4 linked regions of the Arabidopsis thaliana genome follow. The protein of the gene in region 4 binds, or shares a complex with, the protein of the main gene of each other region. Each region holds a gene or a part of one and is shown on either strand. Other genes may lie near its edges.

Region 1 (5,665 bases), 1.7 Mb from region 4:
CTTTCTAAAGATACAAATCCGAAAACTTAATCTTAGGCTATTATGACCTAAAATTAATCTCCAATTGAAATCTTTAGAAATTATTGAAAGAAAAACTGAAAAAGAAACTAAAGCAATCGGTAAGAACAACCGATCGAACGGCGGAGGAAGGATAAAAGCCGGCCAAAACCGCTTGTAAAAGCCGGATTTGCCAGAAGAGGACCGGCCATCTTTGCTAACAAAGCCAAAATTAATCTCCTTCATATCTTTTAGAGAGAGGAACTGTTGAATTCTGTCGACCGGATTATTCTGGTAAACTGCCGTCCCAAGTTTTGCCGACCATGTTTATGACAATGATATGACATTAATATATATCCCCACAAATAAGCTTAATTTTTTCTTATCCTATTATAGTTTCAGAAACTATATTGTCCACAAAAATCTTCTTGTTCTATTTTTTTTATTCCCATTAAAATCATACAGCGATGAAATGATTGGCGATGGAAAAAAAAACAAAGGGACAACTAAAAATAATACTACAAAAGACAAAATAATACTTAATACACGTCTAAATTAGCAATTGACGTCGCTAACCATGTTTTGCCATAATTACCAATTTTCGAAACGATAAACATGGAGTATTCTCAGAACATAATCAGACCAAAACAAGTGAAAAACAATAGCCATTGATTCAAACCAAAATGAGTTTCACTTCACACAATAAGTAAACAAAAGGCGAAGACATTGTAATGATACCGTTGTAAAAGTAAGTCGACAAAACAGATGAGAAACTAAACCCTAACACTTATGAGTAATCTCTCAGTTACGGTACCTGCTTCCACGTTCGCGACCGTAGTCTCTGTCTCTGTCCCGATCATGGTCATAGTCATAGTCACGCTCCTTGCCTCTTTCCCTCTCTCGGCTTCTGCTTCTGCGTCTATCCTTATCGTAGTGATGATCTCTACCACGGTCTCTTTGCCTGTCTCTGCTTCTCTCTCTTCCATCTTTATCAATACCTGCCACATTCATATAAATTATGAACAACTACATTGGATCATGACCTTTCTATTTTTGGGGAAGCAGCAATAAACATTCTTTTCTATCTTCCTCTATATCTATTCAGTGAAAAGAAGAAAACTCTAACAAGGAACAACACTGTTTATTGGAGATCCCCACTAGGCTTGGGCTATAGGCAAGTTAGCTGCAAGCTTAATGTAAAATTTCAAACAAATCCCTCCCCGCATATATGTTAAGTTTCACTCAAGTGTCTAGATGACAAGCAGAAACTTTCTTTGAAGACTATACACAGAGAGTAGATATAGATCGAGCCAAATAAATCTCTATTATAGTGGAAAGGTTCTGTTCATAAGCTCAACCTATTTGATGATTGCATAGATTTAGTTCATATTAGTTAAAATTAAACAGAACTTACCTAGTTCCTCGACTTCCCACCCAGCACGACCAGCAGCAACAGCAGGTCTGGTGTCAGCTTGGTTTGTTTTAACACGGTACTTCTTCTTTAGATTCCCAAACTCATCATACATTTCACCATCATCCTGAAATATATTAGACGTATAAGTCAAATGGAATATACAAAAAACTGAGAGCTCATCCGAATTGCAACAAAAAAACAAAAAACAAAGAACTCTTCAGGAAAAGCATATCTTACTTCTTCAGCCTCACGCCTGCGTCTCTTCGTTTCCTCTAATTCTTGTTCATCTAATTCCTTGTAACCACCACCACGGCCTCCCCTATTTAGAGAAAAAAAAATGAATAAGCACTGGTCTAGATAAAAACAACCTTCCAAACTCAAACCTTAATGTTTCTTAATGCAACTCTAATTTGGCCAAAATAAAACATTACAAGTGGGATAAATCAATTGTCGAAGAAAACAAGCACTCGTTCAAATTGCAGAAGAGAGTATTGAGACTTTTTCCCAGGTATCTATTAGGCCCTGTCTAAAAGCAGAATAAATATACCCTGCTGACAACAAAACTACAAACATCGAACAGAAAATCTACGACCTCTCCTACATTCACTGTAAAATCATTTATAATCCAAATCCTCAGCTCGAACATTGCAAGATAACAATACAAAGGCAATCTTATCACTGGCTTTGAGTCATACCTCACACCACCTTCATTCTGACCAGGTTTATTGGTGTTGCAGATATTACATTTTAGACGTTTCGCCCAGTTGACATTGCCACACCTGAAAGAATTAGCGCAAAAAGAAAAAGTGCATTATGCATAAGAACTCACATTCACACAGTGCAGCCTCTTAGTTAAGCTACTCGATGACACATAGCATAACTTGCAATTAAACTAAAACATAGTCCATTTTTTGTATCAGACACAGAAAATTGAAGGCAGCCTATCTTCACAAATATAACTTCTTAGAAGGATCAAGACTACAACCTACCCACGTTTCAAATTACATTTTTCAGATTAACAGCCATCTGAAGGAAAATTACGAAATTAGAATCAACATTCAAAAAAGAAGGAAAAAATATGTGCCTCCACACATAATTTGGACCAGTTTAAGAGACACAGCACAGCAGAGCGGGCCATCACTTCTTTCTAAGTAAAGAGTCAACTGACATCATCAAAAGCATTGATATACAAGCTATATTCCTTCCATACATAAGACAAATTAATTTTATATCCAGCAACGCTATATGCCATCTGAATGTTCTCTTTTGCTACTGAATATAAATTGTTTCTTGCGATGTGTTTTAATCAAGTACCAAACGCTCATTATCCTCTGAAACTGAACTAACTATTTCAAACCTAATCGGAATGCTTACATTGGACAAGCCCAATCATTTGGACCAAAGAGACCAGTAGGAGCACCACTGGGCTGCTTCCCCGGGGCCCCACCATCAGCGCCTCCACCTCGACCCCTTCCACGACCAGCACCCATGCTGCCACCAGATGCACCAGCTGGTCTAGCAGTTCCACAGCGGTTACAAACCCCACGGAATGCAAAATTCACATTTGTACAACTGCCAATGAAAGAGTATGAGAACACTACTGCTAGAAACTATAAAATATATAAAAACTAGCAAATTAACGGAAACAAGAGCTAGATGAAGCTCCTCACCGATATCACATCACAGACCTTGTATTAGGGCACATCCAGTCACCATCTTGCTGCCATGGCTTTGCCGAAGAATCAGCCTGACCCCTCCCCCTTCCAGCACCTCCATTTGTTTCCTCAGCACCTCCATCGAATTCAACAAACTCAACTGCATCACCAGCATTTTTATTCTTCGACTCGGCCATAAAAACTCCAATGGTGTTTCCATGAAAATCTTTGTTATTGAACCATTCAACAGCAGCCAAAGCAGCATGCGGATCCTCATAGGTAACAGTAGCATCTCCCTTGGGCTCATCAGTTTCTTTATCCCGGTACAGCCATACCTTAGGAGTACCAGTTCGTTTGTCTCTCTAAAAGCAATGTAGAAAAAAATGTAAGAAACTCGAAAATCTAGTGACCTATAAAAGATTGCAATGACGTCAAAACAAAAGCAACAATTAGTACCTGGCCAATACCATACCTTAAGCAACCCAATGGTCCCAAAATAGTCAGCCAACATATTCTCGTCAGTTCCTAAGGGGAGATTTGAAACGTAGACTGATCCATTAGTAGGATATCCAGCCATCGTAATCCAATTTCATCAAAAAGAAAGCCGCCAAGAATCTGTAAATGACAATACCAAAACTTCACTTAGCCAACATTGAAACCTCGCTAAGAAATAACATCGAGACATTGAAACCCCAAAGTTTTGAGCTCAAAAACCATGAGAACAAAAAGAAGATTCGAAATCTGACCAACGAGATAGGGAAACATAGAAGAGCGAGATAGATAGAAATCTGACCAGCGATGAGGATTCAGCGGCGAAGGAGAGGTCGTCGGACTAGGGTTTCTTTCTAAAGTGCGTCGAGTGAGAGAGAGAGAGAGAGATCTTGCGAATAAAGATTTTCTTAAGGGTAACCTCGATAGTCGATTGTTTGTTTGGTGGTTATATTTGCAATTTCATATAACTTTCCCCCTTAAATTGTAATTTTGTTTTTTTATTTTTTTCGTGGTTAAGGAATTCTTTTTTTGGGTGCAAATTGAGGAATTATTAATTTACAAATTAGATGAGTACCCGCACTACGTGCGGGTTTACGTATTACTATTTACTAATTGTTTTATATAATGTCTGTTTATATAAAGTAAAGTTGAATGCATAGGTTTTGAAACATAAATATGTTTTGTAATTGTTTTTGAAAAGTCCAACTATATTAGTTCATCTGAAAAACGAATGTGCTTGAGTTGTTTTTTATTGTTGTTTTAGATTCTTAGTTTTTTTTTGAATTTATATATCCTTGCTTTTTTAGTTATATGTATAGATTGTGAGACAGTGAAATTTTAGAAAAATTATTTCTTACACTAAAAATATAACATGTCTTTATTAATCATGTCTTTGCATATTCAATCTAAGCATATTCAACTCGATATTCTTAGAAAGTTTAGTTAAGTTCTTGTCATAATCTTATATCTTACGTATTAGTTATAAGGATAGCTCCTCAAATATCTTTCAAATTACCTGTTTTCTTAGCATAAATATCGAAAAGCTTAGATATATTTAATCTGCATATTCATTTAGTTTCTTTCATAATAATCGTCTAATTTTTAGGCCAGGAATATGTGTAACATGTTTGGATTTTATCATCACTTTAGCCACTTAAGTGGATCTCAAAATTAAAGAGGATATATTGAATTAAAAATGTAGAAAGAGTGATGGTTCAAGTTCTCATTAATTATATTCTCCTATTTTAGTTGTTATGTTGAATTAATTACTAATTATGTATTACTTATTTTATGAAGTCTAGGTGGCAAGCTCTCATGTGCTTATGTGTCAAGTTGTGGGAGAGAGTTAGTCTTCTTTCATATATATGATTTGTGTTTCAATGTTGAATCTATTTATAGCCAATAATATCTAATACTACTAATATTATACTACCAAAGTATTGGTCAATAAAAAAAAATACATTTGCATCTAACATATATTGACTAAATTAATAATTAAAAAAGTATTGACTCATACTACAGTAAAATATTTATATAATGCTATCTATTTTGTAAAGTTACTAGCATAAGCTTGTCATTTTTTAAAATCTGTCACTACTAATTTTACTATGACTAGGTAATCACCCGCGCTACGCTGCGGTATTTTTAAATTTTTTGTATCGTTTAATTTAAATATAATTTTTAATTATCTAATCATTTACTTATATAATAAGTAATTATTCTTAATATTAAAATATATTTTTTCTAACAACATTCTCAACAATGCATTATACACACAATTCCTAAACAATGTTCGTCTTAAACTAATTAAATAGAAGGTAATATTGGGATTCTCGAAACCTAAGAATTTGATGATTAAACTTCTTACATACTCTTCACCCTCGGCGATTTATTATATAGATATATAACAATATGCAAACTATTCAAACTATTAATTAATCCATGACTACTATACACTCATAATTTGAGTTAAGATTACAGAAAAAAATCTTTTGAGTATGAGAAAATCAATCAAATTATTTTATTGAAAAACATTTAATAACAAAATAAATTTAGTATTAGTACAATTAAATATGTAAAATTAAATAATAAATACATCATTAATCTA
Region 2 (5,964 bases), on a different chromosome or scaffold from region 4:
TCGTGGAAGTACGAGATTCACTGGATTTGATGGCTCGTCGGCTGTTTCTCCTCCTCCTCGCCGTCACGGCAGGGTTGAGCTTGACGGGAACAACCGTCAGAGCAGTTGGCATAAATTGGGGGACAGAAGCGTCGCACCCTCTTCCGCCTTCAAAGGTTGTAGAGCTTCTGAAATCAAACGGCATTGTCAAAGTGAAGCTCTTCGATGCCGACCCAAAAGTTCTCCGAGCTCTCTCTGGTTCTAATATTGGTGTCACTATCGGAATCCAAAATTCGATGCTCAAGAGCTTGAATGCATCCGTAAAGGTAGCAGAGAGCTGGGTACATGACAATGTCACTCGTTACTTCAACGGTGGAAACAGAGTTCGAATCGAGTATCTTCTTTCTCCTTCTCTTCTGCTTATCCAGTTATATATATATAGATTTAAGATTTTTAAGCTGGAATTTAACTTATGGAATGTGAATGAGTCGGATTTGTTTCAATGCCAAATTGCCAATCTTCTTATTGTGAAATTATCATTAAAGAAAAGAATTGATTTTCAGGTATGTAGCAGTTGGAGAAGAGCCATTTCTCCAGAGCTATGGCAATCAGTATAAGCCTTTTGTGATTGGGGCAGCTATGAATATCCAAAATGCTTTAGTTAAGGCGAACTTGGCAAATGAAGTGAAGGTTGTAGTCCCCTCAAGCTTTGATTCCTTTCTTTCTGAATCTGGTCGACCTTCTTCAGGACACTTTAGGGCTGACCTCAACAAGACGATGATTGAACTCCTCTCCTTTCTCACAAAGCACCACTCTCCTTTTTTTGTGACAATCTCTCCTTTCCTAAGCTTTCACCAGAACAAGAACATCTCCCTTGACTTTAGCCTCTTTAAAGAAACAGCAAAGGCTCACAAAGACGGACGTAAAACCTACAGAAACAGCTTTGATCTAAGCTATGACACACTTGTCTCTGCATTGTTCACAATTGGGTTTTCGGAGGTGGATATCGTTGTGTCAAAGATCGGTTGGCCTACAGATGGAGCAGAAAATGCAACATCACTGACTGCTGAGGCGTTCTTTAAAGGACTGATAGTTCACTTGGAGAAAAAGACGGCCTCTCTCCCGCGTCCTCCTGTTGAAACCTACATTGAAAGTCTCTTGGACGAAGATCAGAGAAACTTATCTGCTGGGAACTTTGAGAGGCACTGGGGAGTGTTCACTTTCGACGGTCAAGCCAAATACAATTTCAGTTTCAACCATAAGAATCAGGTAAACGCGCAGAATGTTCAGTACCTTCCTCCTAAGTGGTGTGTGGTGAACAATAACAAGGACTTGTCAAACGCGTCAGCAAGAGCATTAGAAGCGTGTGCTGTTGCGGACTGTACATCGATACTTCCTGGCGGGTCGTGTTCAGGCATCAGATGGCCAGGCAACGTTTCATACGCGTTCAATAGCTTGTACCAGCAAAATGATCACAGTGCAGAAAGCTGCAACTTTGGTGGACTTGGTTTGATCACTACTGTTGATCCTTCTGAGGATAATTGCCGGTTCTCGATTCAACTTGACACTTCTCATTCATCTTCGCAAACTCCAAATTTCTTTCAGAGCTGGCCTCTCCTCTTATTGTTCCTACTGTCCGGACTCTTTTAAAGTTGTAGTTATAGCAAAATTTTGGTGGATTTTGCCTCTAATTTCTCTCTAATAGCCACATTTCAAAACTGTATTGGGCTACGTAAAAAATAACTGTTATTGGGCTGGGCCTTCGTAAAGGTTAGATGATTATGGGCCTTAGAACCATGTTGTCTTATTTGATAAAAAAAGCAAGTCCAGTTATTTTGGGAAACCGGTCGGTAAAAGATAAGATGTAAAAGAATTTAAGATTTAAGATAAATGCAATAATAAAGTTCCACTATTTTTGAGAGAAATATAAATAAAACGCGAGATTTTTTATTCTACGTCTAAAAAGGCTCTCACACGATTCGTTAAGAGTTTTGGTCTGTTGTTTATCGCAAACCCTAGGTCATGGCTGGGATGTACAATCAAGACGGCGGCGGAGGTGCGCCTATTCCGTCGTACGGTGGTGATGGATACGGCGGAGGGGGAGGTTATGGAGGTGGTGATGCTGGATATGGTGGACGCGGTGCCTCTGGCGGAGGTAGTTACGGCGGACGCGGTGGTTACGGTGGAGGCGGTGGTAGAGGAAATCGAGGTTTGTGATTTAGATTGTTGCAGATCTGATTGATATAACCTTATGATTCTTTAGATTTCTCCATTCCTTGCTGAGCTACTTTTGTTAAATCTTTAGTTTCTCACTATTTCGATGATTCGTTTTGATTTAGGCGGTGGAGGTGGTGGATATCAAGGAGGTGATCGCGGTGGAAGAGGAAGTGGCGGCGGAGGCAGAGATGGAGATTGGCGTTGTCCCAACCCCAGGTAATGATTGCAAATTATTTGGGATTCCATTCTTTCTGCATATGTAATGAATTGAATTAGCTGTTGAATTCCTTTGTGGGAGCATGTTTTGAAATTGTTTACCCTCGAAACTGTTTGTATAGTTGTGGGAACGTGAACTTTGCAAGGAGAGTTGAATGTAACAAGTGTGGTGCACTTGCTCCTTCTGGTACTAGTTCTGGTGCTAATGATCGTGGAGGTGGTGGATATAGCCGAGGTGGAGGTGACAGTGATCGTGGGGGTGGTCGTGGTGGTAGAAACGATAGTGGTAGGAGCTATGAGAGTAGTAGATATGATGGTGGAAGTAGGAGTGGTGGTAGCTATGGTAGTGGTAGTCAGAGGGAAAATGGTTCGTATGGTCAGGCTCCTCCTCCTGCTGCAGCTATTCCATCCTACGATGGTTCTGGAAGTTATCCTCCACCCACGGGTTATGGAATGGAAGCTGTTCCCCCGCCTACAAGCTATTCTGGTGGCCCGCCGTCATATGGTGGTCCACGAGGGGGTTATGGCAGTGATGCACCGAGCACTGGTGGTCGTGGTGGTAGGAGTGGCGGCTATGATGGTGGTAGTGCTCCTCGACGGCAGGAAGCTAGTTATGAAGATGCAGCTACTGAAAAAGTCAAGCAGTGCGATGCTGATTGTGATGATAATTGTGATAATGCTAGAATATACATCTCTAATTTACCTCCGGATGTGACAACTGATGAACTCAAGGATCTCTTTGGTGGCATTGGCCAAGTAATAACACTGGTCTTTTACTTCTGTTGTGTTTTATATCTTGGAATAAGCCTTTCCCTTGCTATAAGTTATTAAGTTCTTGTTTGTGTACATGTTTATTGGTGTGCTGATAAAGTGTGTCTGGTTGGATCTATTTTAGGTTGGAAGAATTAAGCAGAAGCGTGGTTACAAAGATCAGTGGCCCTATAATATTAAGATTTACACTGATGAGAAGGGTAACTATAAAGGTGACGCCTGTCTGGCTTATGAAGATCCCAGCGCTGCACACTCTGCAGGCGGCTTTTTCAACAGTATGTACTATGGAATTGCTGTCTAGCTTAAAATTGTTTAAAAGTTCTGTTTCGTGAATGGTGGTGGATTGTTTTGTAGATTACGAAATGAGGGGGAACAAGATTAGTGTAACGATGGCAGAAAAGTCTGCGCCCCGTGCTCCTACCTTTGACCAGAGGTAGCTGTCCTGATCATTTATCAGCATTCTTTTTTGTTACCATTTAGCTGTTACCACCTGCTCCATCTTATAGGTGTTTGTACTCTAGTTGTTTTAGGCTTTTAGCTTTATAATTTTAGTAGGGAATATGAGTTTTTGCAATGCTAAGTTTATGTTCCTTGTCTCTGAAGACTGTTTGGATCTTGTATCCTACTGGGGATTTGCTTTGTACACTCATCTGGGTATGACAGAAAGGGTTGGGAGTTCGTATGTCATCAAATTATGCCTTAGGTCTATGTTCATGCCATAGGAAATAAATCTATGTAGTTATCTTGTAACCTATAGCTGTGGCTGCTCTTGGTTGTGAAGAGATCTGTTGTTTGTTCATGCTTCTTATAAGCTCCTAGTAATTCCCCATATAAGTTGTATCTTTATCTGGTTTTCCATGCTCTATAAGACTCGTCTTTGTTGTGTGTTGAGTCACTTCATCTTACGTAGTAAGCTGGTTTTAATTAGAGATGTCTGTGTCTGATCTAATAATGTTGTCCTTGCAAACTTGTGAATGTCGCAGAGGTGGGGGTAGAGGAGGAGGAGGTGGTGGCTATGGTGGTGGTGGGGGAGACAGAAGAAGAGACAACTACAGTTCAGGGCCAGACAGAAACCACCATGGGGGAAACCGGTCTCGTCCATATTGAGAGAAAGAGAGGAATGAATGAATCAGCTGTTATGTGTTCTAAGAGTTTTGTGTGTGTTAAGGAGGGAATTTTAGTAAAATGTTCTATGAATCCTCATATTGGAGATACAAAAAAAGAGGTAGGTTTTTGTTCACTTTGACCTTGAGCAAAATTACCCCTTTTTTCTCCCTACTTGTTCTGTTTCTTTGGGGATCTATTATTCATGCATCTCCGGTTTATTTTTAGTTTGTTTTTCACGATGTGAAATGTTTGTTTTTTGTTTTATTGAAGGAAGCTGATATTTAACTGCAAAATGCATTGCAAATTGGTGCTATGATGATTTCAGGTGAGTGCATTCATCTTGATTACTTCTTTCAACACCAGAAGTCCCTTTTTTGCTTCTCTTCCTTCTTTTTTTGACTCTGTTCAACACAAACAAAACAGTCGTATGTTTTCATGTTGTATTGTGTAATGCATTCATTTAGGCAACCACACTTCTCTTTACAATTTTCGGAGTTGTTATCGTTTTTTCTCGCAAACTTCTTTTATAGCAACATGTGTTCCTCGAGAATTGGCAGGAGTGGGGGATGGCTAGGCACTTGTGTCTGATCAGTTGATCTGAAGTATGCAGTGACCTTTCAAAGATCAACTTGATGATTTTATTGCCAACTTCACTCACTGGGGCTATGATTAGGATTAGGGTTTTACAAATGAGTGGCCTTTTTTTGGATAAAAGACGTTGTTAATAAATAGTTAATCGTTCAATCTGGATCCCAAGGACTAAAGAGAAGGGTGTCTCGTAAAGTTCTCTATGTGTATATGTCATGACCTTTTGGTCAAGTGCCGGATTGGCCAACTCTTTAATGTGTTACATGTAACGAAAGTTTATGTTGAAATTATAGGAACAAAAAAGACTAATGCCGAAAATCCCAAGAGAAAGTTTATTAATGACTTGTTGTGTAGAAAATATGGACGAGAGAAAGAATCCAGGAAATTTGGAATCCTGTAACATTAGTTTCAAGATTCCCATTCTCAATTCGACAAAGAGAATCCATCTTCTAACATTGCATATTCACAGCTCAATCGCTGGCTGGCTCTAGCACACGGCGATATTACTTATTTACCATCCCTTTCACACACATATTGGATAATATACATATTCTTAATAAAAGTCCACCAGTAGTCTTAAGCATAAATTTACAAAAAAAAAAAAAAAAAAAAAAAGTAAGGCAGTAACAATGTAATTCTAACAAACTGCTTAGATGTGTGAAATCCAGATATTTGTAAGTTGTAACTTGTAAGACCACACTATTTAATACTTAATGTGTTCTTAACCTCAAATTGACAATACCTGCGATTTTTCTCACTTTCGACACAATTTTCTATATGATTTGAACTTCAACAATTCTATATAAAAAAAGGTAAAATATTTACATGCAAATAATAAACTTACCCATTACCATATCTTGTATACAAGAAGCTAAACGAAGGAGGGAATGAAGTAGGAATCACATATAAGCAAGAAGAAGCTATGGAACTCAGGATGGATAGCGCCAACAGATATACATGTACGCATATACAAAACATACAGCACTGGTGAGCCATGGCGCTATCCCTCCTGAGCTTTATAGCTATTTCTCTACTACTCAATCTGAAATTTACATCCATAGGTATGCATCTTCCTTTACATATGTG
Region 3 (4,201 bases), 340 kb from region 4:
AGTGTTTATAAAAGCTGTGGAAGCTTCTTGATACAAAGACTAAAAAGAATTTATAGAAAGAACACGAAGAAGATGAAGAGGAAGATCGTGACGGCAACTACTTACGAGGCTCTACACATTTGTTTTAGCTTCGGGTTGTTTTGTTTGAAAAATGACATAATTCATAATTGTGTATGTAATGAAAGGTAGACATGGTTGCACGTATTCACTATTCAGGATAGAAAATGGAGGGACCGATAATTAGAATCTCAATTTCTAGGCAGAGTGTCAATTTTCTTTTCTTATTCTTGGCATTGTAGAAAATGACCCGGAAGAAAAACCTTAAAGTTTAATGAAGGCGATGGTTGGTGTTTGGATTAGATTCCAGCTTTTGATAGGTTTAGCATCAACAATGTCTTGGTTCTTGTTCTTTAAGTCTAAGGTTTTTCTTTTACTATCAATCTTTGGTTCATTCCTGAAACTGTCTTCAAGAAATAACCGAAATTGAACTAGAATAAACAGAATCTTTGGTGTAGTTTGAACGCAAAACAACTTTTCCATTGAAAAAGGTCGAACAAGACATCATCAAATCATGGGGACATAATTATCCATGATTTTCTAAGACAGGACTTGCGCAAACTCTAAGCTTTCGTAAGAAAAATCTCTTTATATAATAATAAACTCACATTGAATCATCAGAATCTTCTGATTCACTTCTCTCCGGTTCAACTCCTGTTGGATTACTAGTGCCTGTCTCAGGAGCTTCAGGCTTTTCAACAGGTGTAGGTGAAGAAGAAGATACTTTCTTACTTGCATTACTAGCATTCTCGTTCGTAGCTGGTTCCTCTTGCTCATGTACCTACACCAAAAAAAGTTCAAATAAATGAAGTTACTAAATCCAAGGAGCAAATATAGACACATCATGTGTCGAAAATAGAAAGAAAAGCTTACATTTTCTACCGTTCCGCCACTCAATATATTCAACAAGTCTCTCTCAACCCGCTGTACAAGCTCCGGCTGCAACATTTTGGCAAATCAATATGTTAACTTAATAGAAAGAACTTTGGAGTTCCAAAAGATACGTTTCACTACAGACTTTCAATCATAATCACAAGTATTAGTGAAACAATGTTGATGGATAGATAACAACAAATGAAAATTACATTAAGGTCAGGCTCTCGACGAAATCTCCTCTTTCGAGCATCCTTCATTGGAGGAGTTAGACCATGTCTGTATTCAACTGTATTAGGCGCAGGATCACCAGGCTCCCTAACCATGATCATCTGTGTGCCAAATCAAAGCATCCATATTGAGTTTTAGTCCAAAATTACAGAAGTTAACGCATATAAGTAAAAGATGAATCAAGTAACTTGATTTTACCTGCCCAATATCAGCAGTTTTGACTAATGCACAATCATCATAAGTTTTAAAAGACTCAACAACTGCAGGGAGATCAAGCAGAGAAGCCGGGAACTCGTCGTTTCCAATCATAAACGTCCCGTTTCTCCCATCCTCTGCAAATTCAGTTCACACAAACATTACGTATCAAGTTTGCTCCAGAGACAATATGCAAATGGATTTCTAGACAAACTATAATGATGCAACAAGAATGTCTTTTGGCTTCTTTGACAAAACAGACAATTCACAACATTAAGCTGATCCAGGAGACACAAATCACAAGCTTTGATCCTTAATCAGATTCAAGAATGTCTTTTGGGCAAACCAACATTCAAGAACTCATCACGTGACACAAGGAGCAATCCCCGAAACGATCCAGACACTAATTTCATTGATTGACGACTAAAGGACATAAATTTAAGAAAAAGGATGAAACTTTAACCCAGATGTAATGTGCCAAAAAAGAGAGAAACCCTTTAAAAATTGGTACCTGAAAAAAACAAATCCAAAGGGATTTCGTCGGAAGTAGAAGCATCCTCGCTTAAAAGCCGATCAATTCGTTCTGAAACAGACGGTGGAACCCTAAGTATGAACTGTTCTTCCATTGTAGATACCAACAGCTTGACTTGAATTCTTCTTCTTAATCAATCCAGAAACGTGAATTCGCGAACGCAGATCGTATCGAATACGTATACTTCGGTCTGTTGATGTCGTAAGTCGAAAAGAGACGAGAATCTATTGAACTGAAACACGAATTCTTTGTTATGTTAGAGAGAGAGAGAGAGAGAGAGAGAGAGAGAGACATTATAAGATAAACCTTCTAGAAGTATCCTTTTAACAATTTATTATTTTATTTCCCTCCCTAAAGGTTTCAAGATTTATGTTTTGACCAAAATAATTATAAAAGGTACAAACAGAACCCAACAATTGGTGAAAAATCACCAATTTGCTATTTAATTCTATTGAATTTTACATTTTTAGTTCCTCTTAGATAATTGATCTCACTAAGTATAAATGTATAATGATAATAAAAAGGAAGATAATTTAATTACCAGAAATTGGAATGGAGCATCTATCAAATAGAAAACTTTAAGGGGATTTTAATACTTTAAAATAATTTTGAGGGGGTTAAATGTAAAACGTAAATAATATAAAGAAACCCTAATAAATAAGTCGTTCATTGATCAATCTTCTCCAATTCTTGCAGCATCACTTCTCCGTCGTTCCTCACCACCGAGATTCGTTCACCGGTAAGTCTTATCCCTGATATTTTGCTCTTCTTCCCAACCGTATATACCCGTATCTTCTTCTTTCTCTGTCGAATAAACTTGGCTTTTCCGACTTCGATTCCTTCAATTGTAAACAACTTCGTTGCCCGTACAACTTTTTGAGTCCGGTGAAAGATCCCGTGACGGAAAAAACTGTAGATCAGGCAATTATTATGTCTATACATCGATATAAAGGATTGAATCGTTCATCTTAAGTAAGTTTGACGAAAGTTGTGATCTTTTGTGCCTATTCACATATAACGTTTCTTAGCTCCTATCTTTTGAAATTGAGCTGATTCGATCTCTACCTGAATTGCATGTGATCTTATTTTGATATAATTTACTATTCAATTAGAAAATATGATCTTTCTAGATTGATTGCTTCTTTAAAGTTCTCTTAGACGCTGGTGTTATAGCTCTTGTGTTTGTGGTCTCTTCTCTCTTAAATATCCAACCTCTTTTGGTGTATTTTCTAATCTAGTTTGTGTTGACTGACTGATAGAGAGATTGAAGCTTGACTCAATGAGGGGAAGGAGCTACACTCCGTCACCACCTAGGGGTTATGGGAGGAGGGGTCGAAGCCCAAGCCCTAGAGGCCGATATGGAGGTCGTAGCAGGGACCTCCCGACCAGTCTTTTGGTTCGCAATCTACGCCATGATTGCAGGTACATACTTTTGACTTCTCTATTATTTTCTTCAGCCATTGTGGATGATGTTATTGTTTGCACACCTCTTAAGCAAGAAGACTTGACACCTCTTAGCATATTTTGGCATGATGTTCTCTTATCTTTACTGTAAAGGTTTTCAAAAAGTTGACGTCAATGTATCTTCATTTCTTGGCTTTTAGCAAATTGTAATTCTCTTCTTACTCCTTGTCCTTTTCTTCAGGCAAGAAGATCTCAGGAAGTCGTTTGAGCAGTTTGGTCCTGTCAAGGACATTTACCTGCCAAGGGATTATTATACCGGGTGAGCATGTTTTGTAAATAGGACAACCAACACTTGATTTTTACTTATGTTCTGATTAGAAAATATCCCTATTTTCACATCTTCTTTCTTGATTTGTTTACTACGTTTATCTGCCTTTCCTTTTTCTTTCGGTCATCTCTTTGTGTCTTCTCATGGATACTAGGGCCTTATGAGAATCTTCTTAAAAACTGATTTCATAAATTAAATTTAGGCTCCATATTTTTCAGATAGTAATTTTCTGTGACATGACAATAGACAGTGAGCATACTTGTGGTCTTAAACCACTAGTTTTCGGTGTCGTTAGGTGGATTAGTCGTTTAGAATTTAGTACCTGGTGAGACCTCATAGTTTTTAGTCGCTTAAGGAAAAGGATACATGATGATATGTTCCATGTCTGAACACACTATGAGTGAGTTAATTGAAGTTGTTGAGGTTTAGCAGTGAATCTAAAGAATTGAAGACATCAAAGAAGTAATTAGAGTTCTTATGAAGATGTTCTATATGGTAGTGAAGAATTGAAGTGAAGTTGAGTTTGTATTCTATGTGAAGATGAATCAAGTCTTCAAGAAGTCATCTTTGTACTGACACTT
Region 4 (4,710 bases):
GCTCCCAGATACGTGGTTAGGGCTTTGAAGAGAGCGATCATCAGTATGTCCCTCCTCCTTTTAGCATTGGAGCTTCATCTGACGAGGATACATCATCATCAGGAAGCAGGTTCAAGATGAAGCTGAAGGAGTTTCACAAAACGTAAGAATAAGAGAATGGCTTAGTATGTTTTCCTGAGTAAAAAGCGATATTTGCAATTTTTTGGGACTCACTTGACAAAACTTTGCAGCACTACATCATTCACCGCGTTGGACAAAAACTTTCTGACTCCGTTCTTCACAACTAATAGTGGAGATGGAGATGGAGATGGGGAGTAGCATGGAAAAGATGTGTATTTGTGGTCCAGGCCAAGCTATAATTAGAGTACACATATGTCTATGTAAGATTAACACTGGTTGATTTTACCTCTCGCAAAATGCCCACTATAAAGTTGACGATTTCCAAGACATTTCGAAATATTATATAGATGTATTTATTGTGGTACATACAATTACCATGTCAATAATCTATTACAAGAAGAAACTGAGCTCATGTGTGGGGGTGAACATAAGCATGCTCTCACCAAAATACTCAAAAAGAGGAAAGAGATAGTTGTCGACGTCAGTGCCTGCAGCAGCTGAAGTCTTCGGAGCAATTGTTGAGGGACTATTGTGGTGCCGTGCATCTGCATCTGTGTGGGACTGTTGAGGGACTGTTGTGGTTCCGCGCATCTGCATTTGTGTGGAGCTCATTTGTATAATTCCCCCTACTGCTATCTTCTTCAGTGGTGGTTGATGAGTTAAGTTGTCACTGCTTGCTTTGCGTTTACCTTGGCCGAAGAAAAAAATTATTTAAGAACGCGTATCTCCGTGTTTAGAACGCCAAAAGAAAAAAAAAGAATGAGACCAGATTTTATACTTTGCCTGGGGCTGGTGAGCTTTCCATTTGTCTTCCAGACAGAGCTAGTTGGAGGAGACAGCAGTGTCTCAGATGTTTTAAGCCGTTCATATAGGCATCGACCAGCTGCCACCTATGGAAAGTTAAAGTTTATATGCTCTCCTGCCTGTTTTGCAACACGAGATTGAAAGCAAACAAGTTTTCTAATTTCTGTATCAAACTAGAAAGCATACTCACCATCAACGCTCCATAAACAAGCCAAGCCCCATGCCTCTTAGCTTCTTCCTTCTGCTTCTCAAGTCCCATTTCAGGTAAAAGAAGCAGCAAATACGGCCCTAGGTTTGGGAGAACAAGAAAGCGAACCTAGACAAAGGTATAAAGCAAGAAAATACTTACGGACGACCAAAGGATATATATCTTAAGGTTCAATTGCAGGTTTAATAACTTTATCGAGGATGTCGGATCATGCTACTATTAGTTTTAAACTTATGCTTTCTTATGTAAAAATTCTAGACGCACAACCTAAAGTGCTACTCTTCGTTATGATAATCAAGAAGCATCAAGAGGAAGTACCATATTAAGCCCAAGGGCTACCATCCCTTGAATTGCCCCATAGTGTTGTGGGAGTGCCTTGGTTGGGTCCAAAAAGGTATGAAGCAGTGATCTTGTGACACGTGGCAACAAATTGTGATAAACGTGTCCAAACCTGTAAAAAGTTCACTAATGTGATTGCAAGTTATATGGTTGTATAAGATGCATGAAATCACAAAGCAAGAATGTAACATTAACCTTTTGCACGTTGAAGCAACTGTGCTGGCAGTGAAGTTTCTCAAGTCCCAGTGATTATCAGATGACCTTCTTCCTAAGCGCTTGGCAATAAGGCAAGTGATAATAGACGGCATCAACTGATGCAGCTGAACAGAATACAACAAGTTAAAAGTCAACAGAAGGAGGAGAAGGGAGAAGAGAAACAAAAAAAAACAAAAAAAAAGTGTGCGCACAAAACTTACATATGGCTCAATATGTACATGAGGGTTATGAAGGAGGCTTCTAGCAAGACGCATCAAAGCCAACAAGATTGGATAATTATCCATGTTTTTGACAATCTGGAGAAATTGCAAGCACAAAAAAAGTAGTGAAAATGTGGTCAAGTTAGAATAAAAGTCAAGACTAGAAGTGTTGGATTACAAAGACAAACCTCTTCAGCGATGAAAGAAGTGAAAAAGGGAACTAATGGGTGGAGTCCAGGATCAATTTCCAAGCTGGCGAGTGCTTGTCTAAAGAGGGTGGAGCCAGATTGAGTCAAAGCCCACTCCGTGACTTTGTCAAAGTAAATCTGCATCGAGAGCAAGCAAGGATTATATAGCATTCAAAGAGCGAGGTAAAGACCCAAAAAAAGAAGGGAGTAAAATAACCTGAAGGTCCTTAGAAAGCACCTGTCTAGCAGCCAAGCCATCGTCCTTATATTCCGATCGTTTAAGGTCAGATATGGCTACAAATTGTCATGGAAGAGGGATTAGAAGGAGAAGTAGTAGGTGATGCAAAAGAAGACAAAAGAAATACCTTGGAGAGGAGAATTCTGTGGAATGGAAGGTTGAATACCATCAATTGCCAACCAATGAGAAAACAGATGCATCAGGAGGTGCATTTGGTAGAGGAGCTTCGATAACCTGCACAAGAGACCATGAAGGGAAGCTTAATAACAATAAACAACATTTCACCATCTTCTTCATTCATGGCCAATCAATGAAGCTTACATTCTTGAGCTCGACATCTTTGTCATCGAAGAAGTATAGATCTCTGTTCTCAGGAGCTCTCTTGAACCGCATACTTTTGGAGCCAGAGGTAGGCTATACAAAAAAAAGTCAAAATCAGGGTCAACGGTATGAAATAAAAGAAGAAGAGAGGAAGAGGAAACCTCCAAATTCCTGAAATGAAGAGCAGAATCGACATCATGAGCCATTAAAGTGGTGCGTCGAGCATGACGCATGCATTTGATAGCTTCCTGGAGATTGCGACGACAAGTTAAAGAGGAGATTAGAGGGCAAAAGTAAAGTTGAAGTTGATGATATACCTGCATGACCTCTCGGACGCGATACTCGACATCGGGAGCAAGAGCGGCTGAGACGTCCGGAGAAAGAGTGGAGAGTCCAATGCTCTGAGCTATCACTTCAATGGATTCTTTCGTCACCATCCTCCTTGCGCCTTCTTTCTTTTTCGACTTTGAGCGACTGAGTCGAGTCAGTCGTGTTACATTTTCTCACTCTATCAGGCTTTCTCAAATGGGCCCATCGTTAGATTTATTGGGCTTATGATAAATACTCAGCCGGTTTTGAATTTTTAGCTCATCTCGCGTGTTATTTTTAATCAGAACTTCGTTGCACTCGTATCTGTATCAATCTCTCTATTTACTTGCATCTTCAGTCAACGTCAAGTCTGGTAGATTATATACAAAATGGACACCAAACATGTTTCTTATATGTTTCATGACACCCGTTTGCAGATTTACCTGCTGCTTCTGTCTCTTATGTAATCAATCAGGTTTTGATCAGCTTTCACTTGGCACCTCCTTTTGATTCAATCTACCGTACAAAGAATCTTGGGCATCCACGTCCTCTATTCGCCAGTTACGTTCATTGCTCTTCGGGTCTGCCGTTGAGATTTGTAAGATCTTGTTATGGAATTTCGTTAAAGTCCGGCGGTGGCCAATGCTTATATATGTAATGCCAGCCGACTGGATTTGCTGGTACAGGAACGCCTGGGCATCAAGAGGAATTTTAATGGCTCAACGCTACATGTACATGATATTATTCTAAATGATAGATGAGAGGAGAACCAACAAGTACCTCATTAGCTTCATCCAACGCACTGGTGGATTCATCCAGGAGCGCCAGCTTTGGCTGAGACAGCAATAACCGTGCAAAGGCAAGGCGCTGCTGCTCACCAAGTGAGAGAACACTGGACCACTCGTGTATCGAATCAAGACCACCAAAGCGATCCGCTATATGTCCAAGACAAACCTTCTCTAGAGTCCGCATCAGATCATCTGTTGTCGGCTTTTCATTTCCGTCCTCTCTAATCAGCAGAGGTGGTGAACCTAACAAAATCAACGCATTTTTTCTTCAGTCGATTTGCTTTTGGGTTCTATAATCTGCTTGCATAAACTTAAATGGAGTTGAAAGAAATGGTTGTTACTAGACACAAATTTAAACTGAGTACCGTCAATATTACTGCCACCAGGTGTCGTCTCCTCCACAGTTGCACTCCAGGTAGGATAAAGCAATTGCTGACGCAAAGATCCCAGAACCATATAAGGCCTTTGTGGAAGGAACAATACGTCTCCTCTTTTCCCTGAATTTTCCTGAGTATCAGATTTCTCCTGTGTAAAATCTACCTCAGGATCGAGGTAGAACGTGATTTTTCCTTTCCCTGACCTCCAAAGACCAGCCATTGCTCTTAGCAGCGAAGTTTTTCCACTCCCACTAGGACCCATTATCTGTTAAATGGCATTTTTAAGTAACTTCCAATCTACCAGTCACATGCTTTAAACACAAGTAGTCAAAGTGAACTAACCAGTAGGTGATCCTTGTCATATACATCTGCAGATAAGTTGTGAACCAATGTGGTTCCGTTTGTTGGTGTCTGAAGAGTAAGCTCCTCGATCTCCAGACGCTTTTGGTTCGGTTGGGACTTGATTGAACCATTGGTGTCCAGCAGTGAAGAGTTCATCTCACTCTGATATGTCAGCTCAATCTCGTCCACAGTGTCAGATGGATCTCTGAAGATGTTGTTATCCAAAAGATCATCAAATTCACCTGTGTTGGAAGAAGTCT

Evidence for each region.
Region 1: TAF6B (region 4) and TAF15 share a complex: the UniProt entries of both Arabidopsis thaliana proteins name them as parts of the TFIID complex.
Region 2: TAF6B (region 4) and TAF15b share a complex: the UniProt entries of both Arabidopsis thaliana proteins name them as parts of the TFIID complex.
Region 3: TAF6B (region 4) and TAF7 share a complex: the UniProt entries of both Arabidopsis thaliana proteins name them as parts of the TFIID complex.

What each region holds. Positions count from the first base shown.
Region 1 is NC_003070.9:18,628,020-18,633,684, forward strand, and holds TAF15 (TBP-associated factor 15), read right to left. Parts: upstream 4,021-5,665; 5' UTR 3,860-4,020; intron 3,682-3,859; 5' UTR 3,644-3,681; coding exon 3,539-3,643; exon of another isoform or gene 3,523-3,538; intron 3,429-3,522; coding exon 3,100-3,428; intron 2,984-3,099; coding exon 2,786-2,983; intron 2,191-2,785; coding exon 2,107-2,190; intron 1,731-2,106; coding exon 1,649-1,730; intron 1,536-1,648; coding exon 1,412-1,535; intron 996-1,411; coding exon 799-995; 3' UTR 536-798; downstream 1-535. Other genes in the region: AT1G50290 (uncharacterized protein), read right to left, coding at 1-243. UniProt on the Arabidopsis thaliana protein: TAFs are components of the transcription factor IID (TFIID) complex that is essential for mediating regulation of RNA polymerase transcription.
Region 2 is NC_003076.8:23,636,892-23,642,855, reverse strand, and holds TAF15b (TBP-associated factor 15B), read left to right. Parts: upstream 1-1,882; 5' UTR 1,883-2,001; coding exon 2,002-2,188; intron 2,189-2,318; coding exon 2,319-2,412; intron 2,413-2,534; coding exon 2,535-3,168; intron 3,169-3,307; coding exon 3,308-3,458; intron 3,459-3,537; coding exon 3,538-3,616; intron 3,617-4,166; coding exon 4,167-4,290; 3' UTR 4,291-4,408; exon of another isoform or gene 4,409-4,560; 3' UTR 4,561-5,441; downstream 5,442-5,964. Other genes in the region: AT5G58480 (O-Glycosyl hydrolases family 17 protein), read left to right, coding at 30-373, 543-1,629. UniProt on the Arabidopsis thaliana protein: TAFs are components of the transcription factor IID (TFIID) complex that is essential for mediating regulation of RNA polymerase transcription.
Region 3 is NC_003070.9:20,627,509-20,631,709, forward strand, and holds TAF7 (TBP-associated factor 7), read right to left. Parts: upstream 2,185-4,201; 5' UTR 1,983-2,184; coding exon 1,868-1,982; intron 1,494-1,867; coding exon 1,360-1,493; intron 1,263-1,359; coding exon 1,143-1,262; intron 997-1,142; coding exon 646-996; 3' UTR 515-645; downstream 1-514. Other genes in the region: SCL33 (SC35-like splicing factor 33), read left to right, coding at 3,168-3,310, 3,534-3,611, 4,179-4,201. UniProt on the Arabidopsis thaliana protein: TAFs are components of the transcription factor IID (TFIID) complex that is essential for mediating regulation of RNA polymerase transcription.
Region 4 is NC_003070.9:20,288,961-20,293,670, reverse strand, and holds TAF6B (TBP-ASSOCIATED FACTOR 6B), read right to left. Parts: upstream 3,072-4,710; coding exon 2,952-3,071; coding exon of another isoform or gene 2,883-2,951; coding exon 2,635-2,882; intron 2,548-2,634; coding exon 2,441-2,547; intron 2,370-2,440; coding exon 2,293-2,369; intron 2,214-2,292; coding exon 2,076-2,213; intron 1,984-2,075; coding exon 1,888-1,983; intron 1,792-1,887; coding exon 1,667-1,791; intron 1,584-1,666; coding exon 1,451-1,583; intron 1,241-1,450; coding exon 1,115-1,240; intron 1,011-1,114; coding exon 899-1,010; intron 810-898; coding exon 511-809; downstream 1-510. Other genes in the region: NHX5 (sodium hydrogen exchanger 5), read left to right, coding at 21-142, 231-318; ABCD2 (ABC transporter family protein), read right to left, coding at 3,426-3,635, 3,724-3,974, 4,097-4,373, 4,451-4,692. UniProt on the Arabidopsis thaliana protein: TAFs are components of the transcription factor IID (TFIID) complex that is essential for mediating regulation of RNA polymerase transcription. Not redundant with TAF6.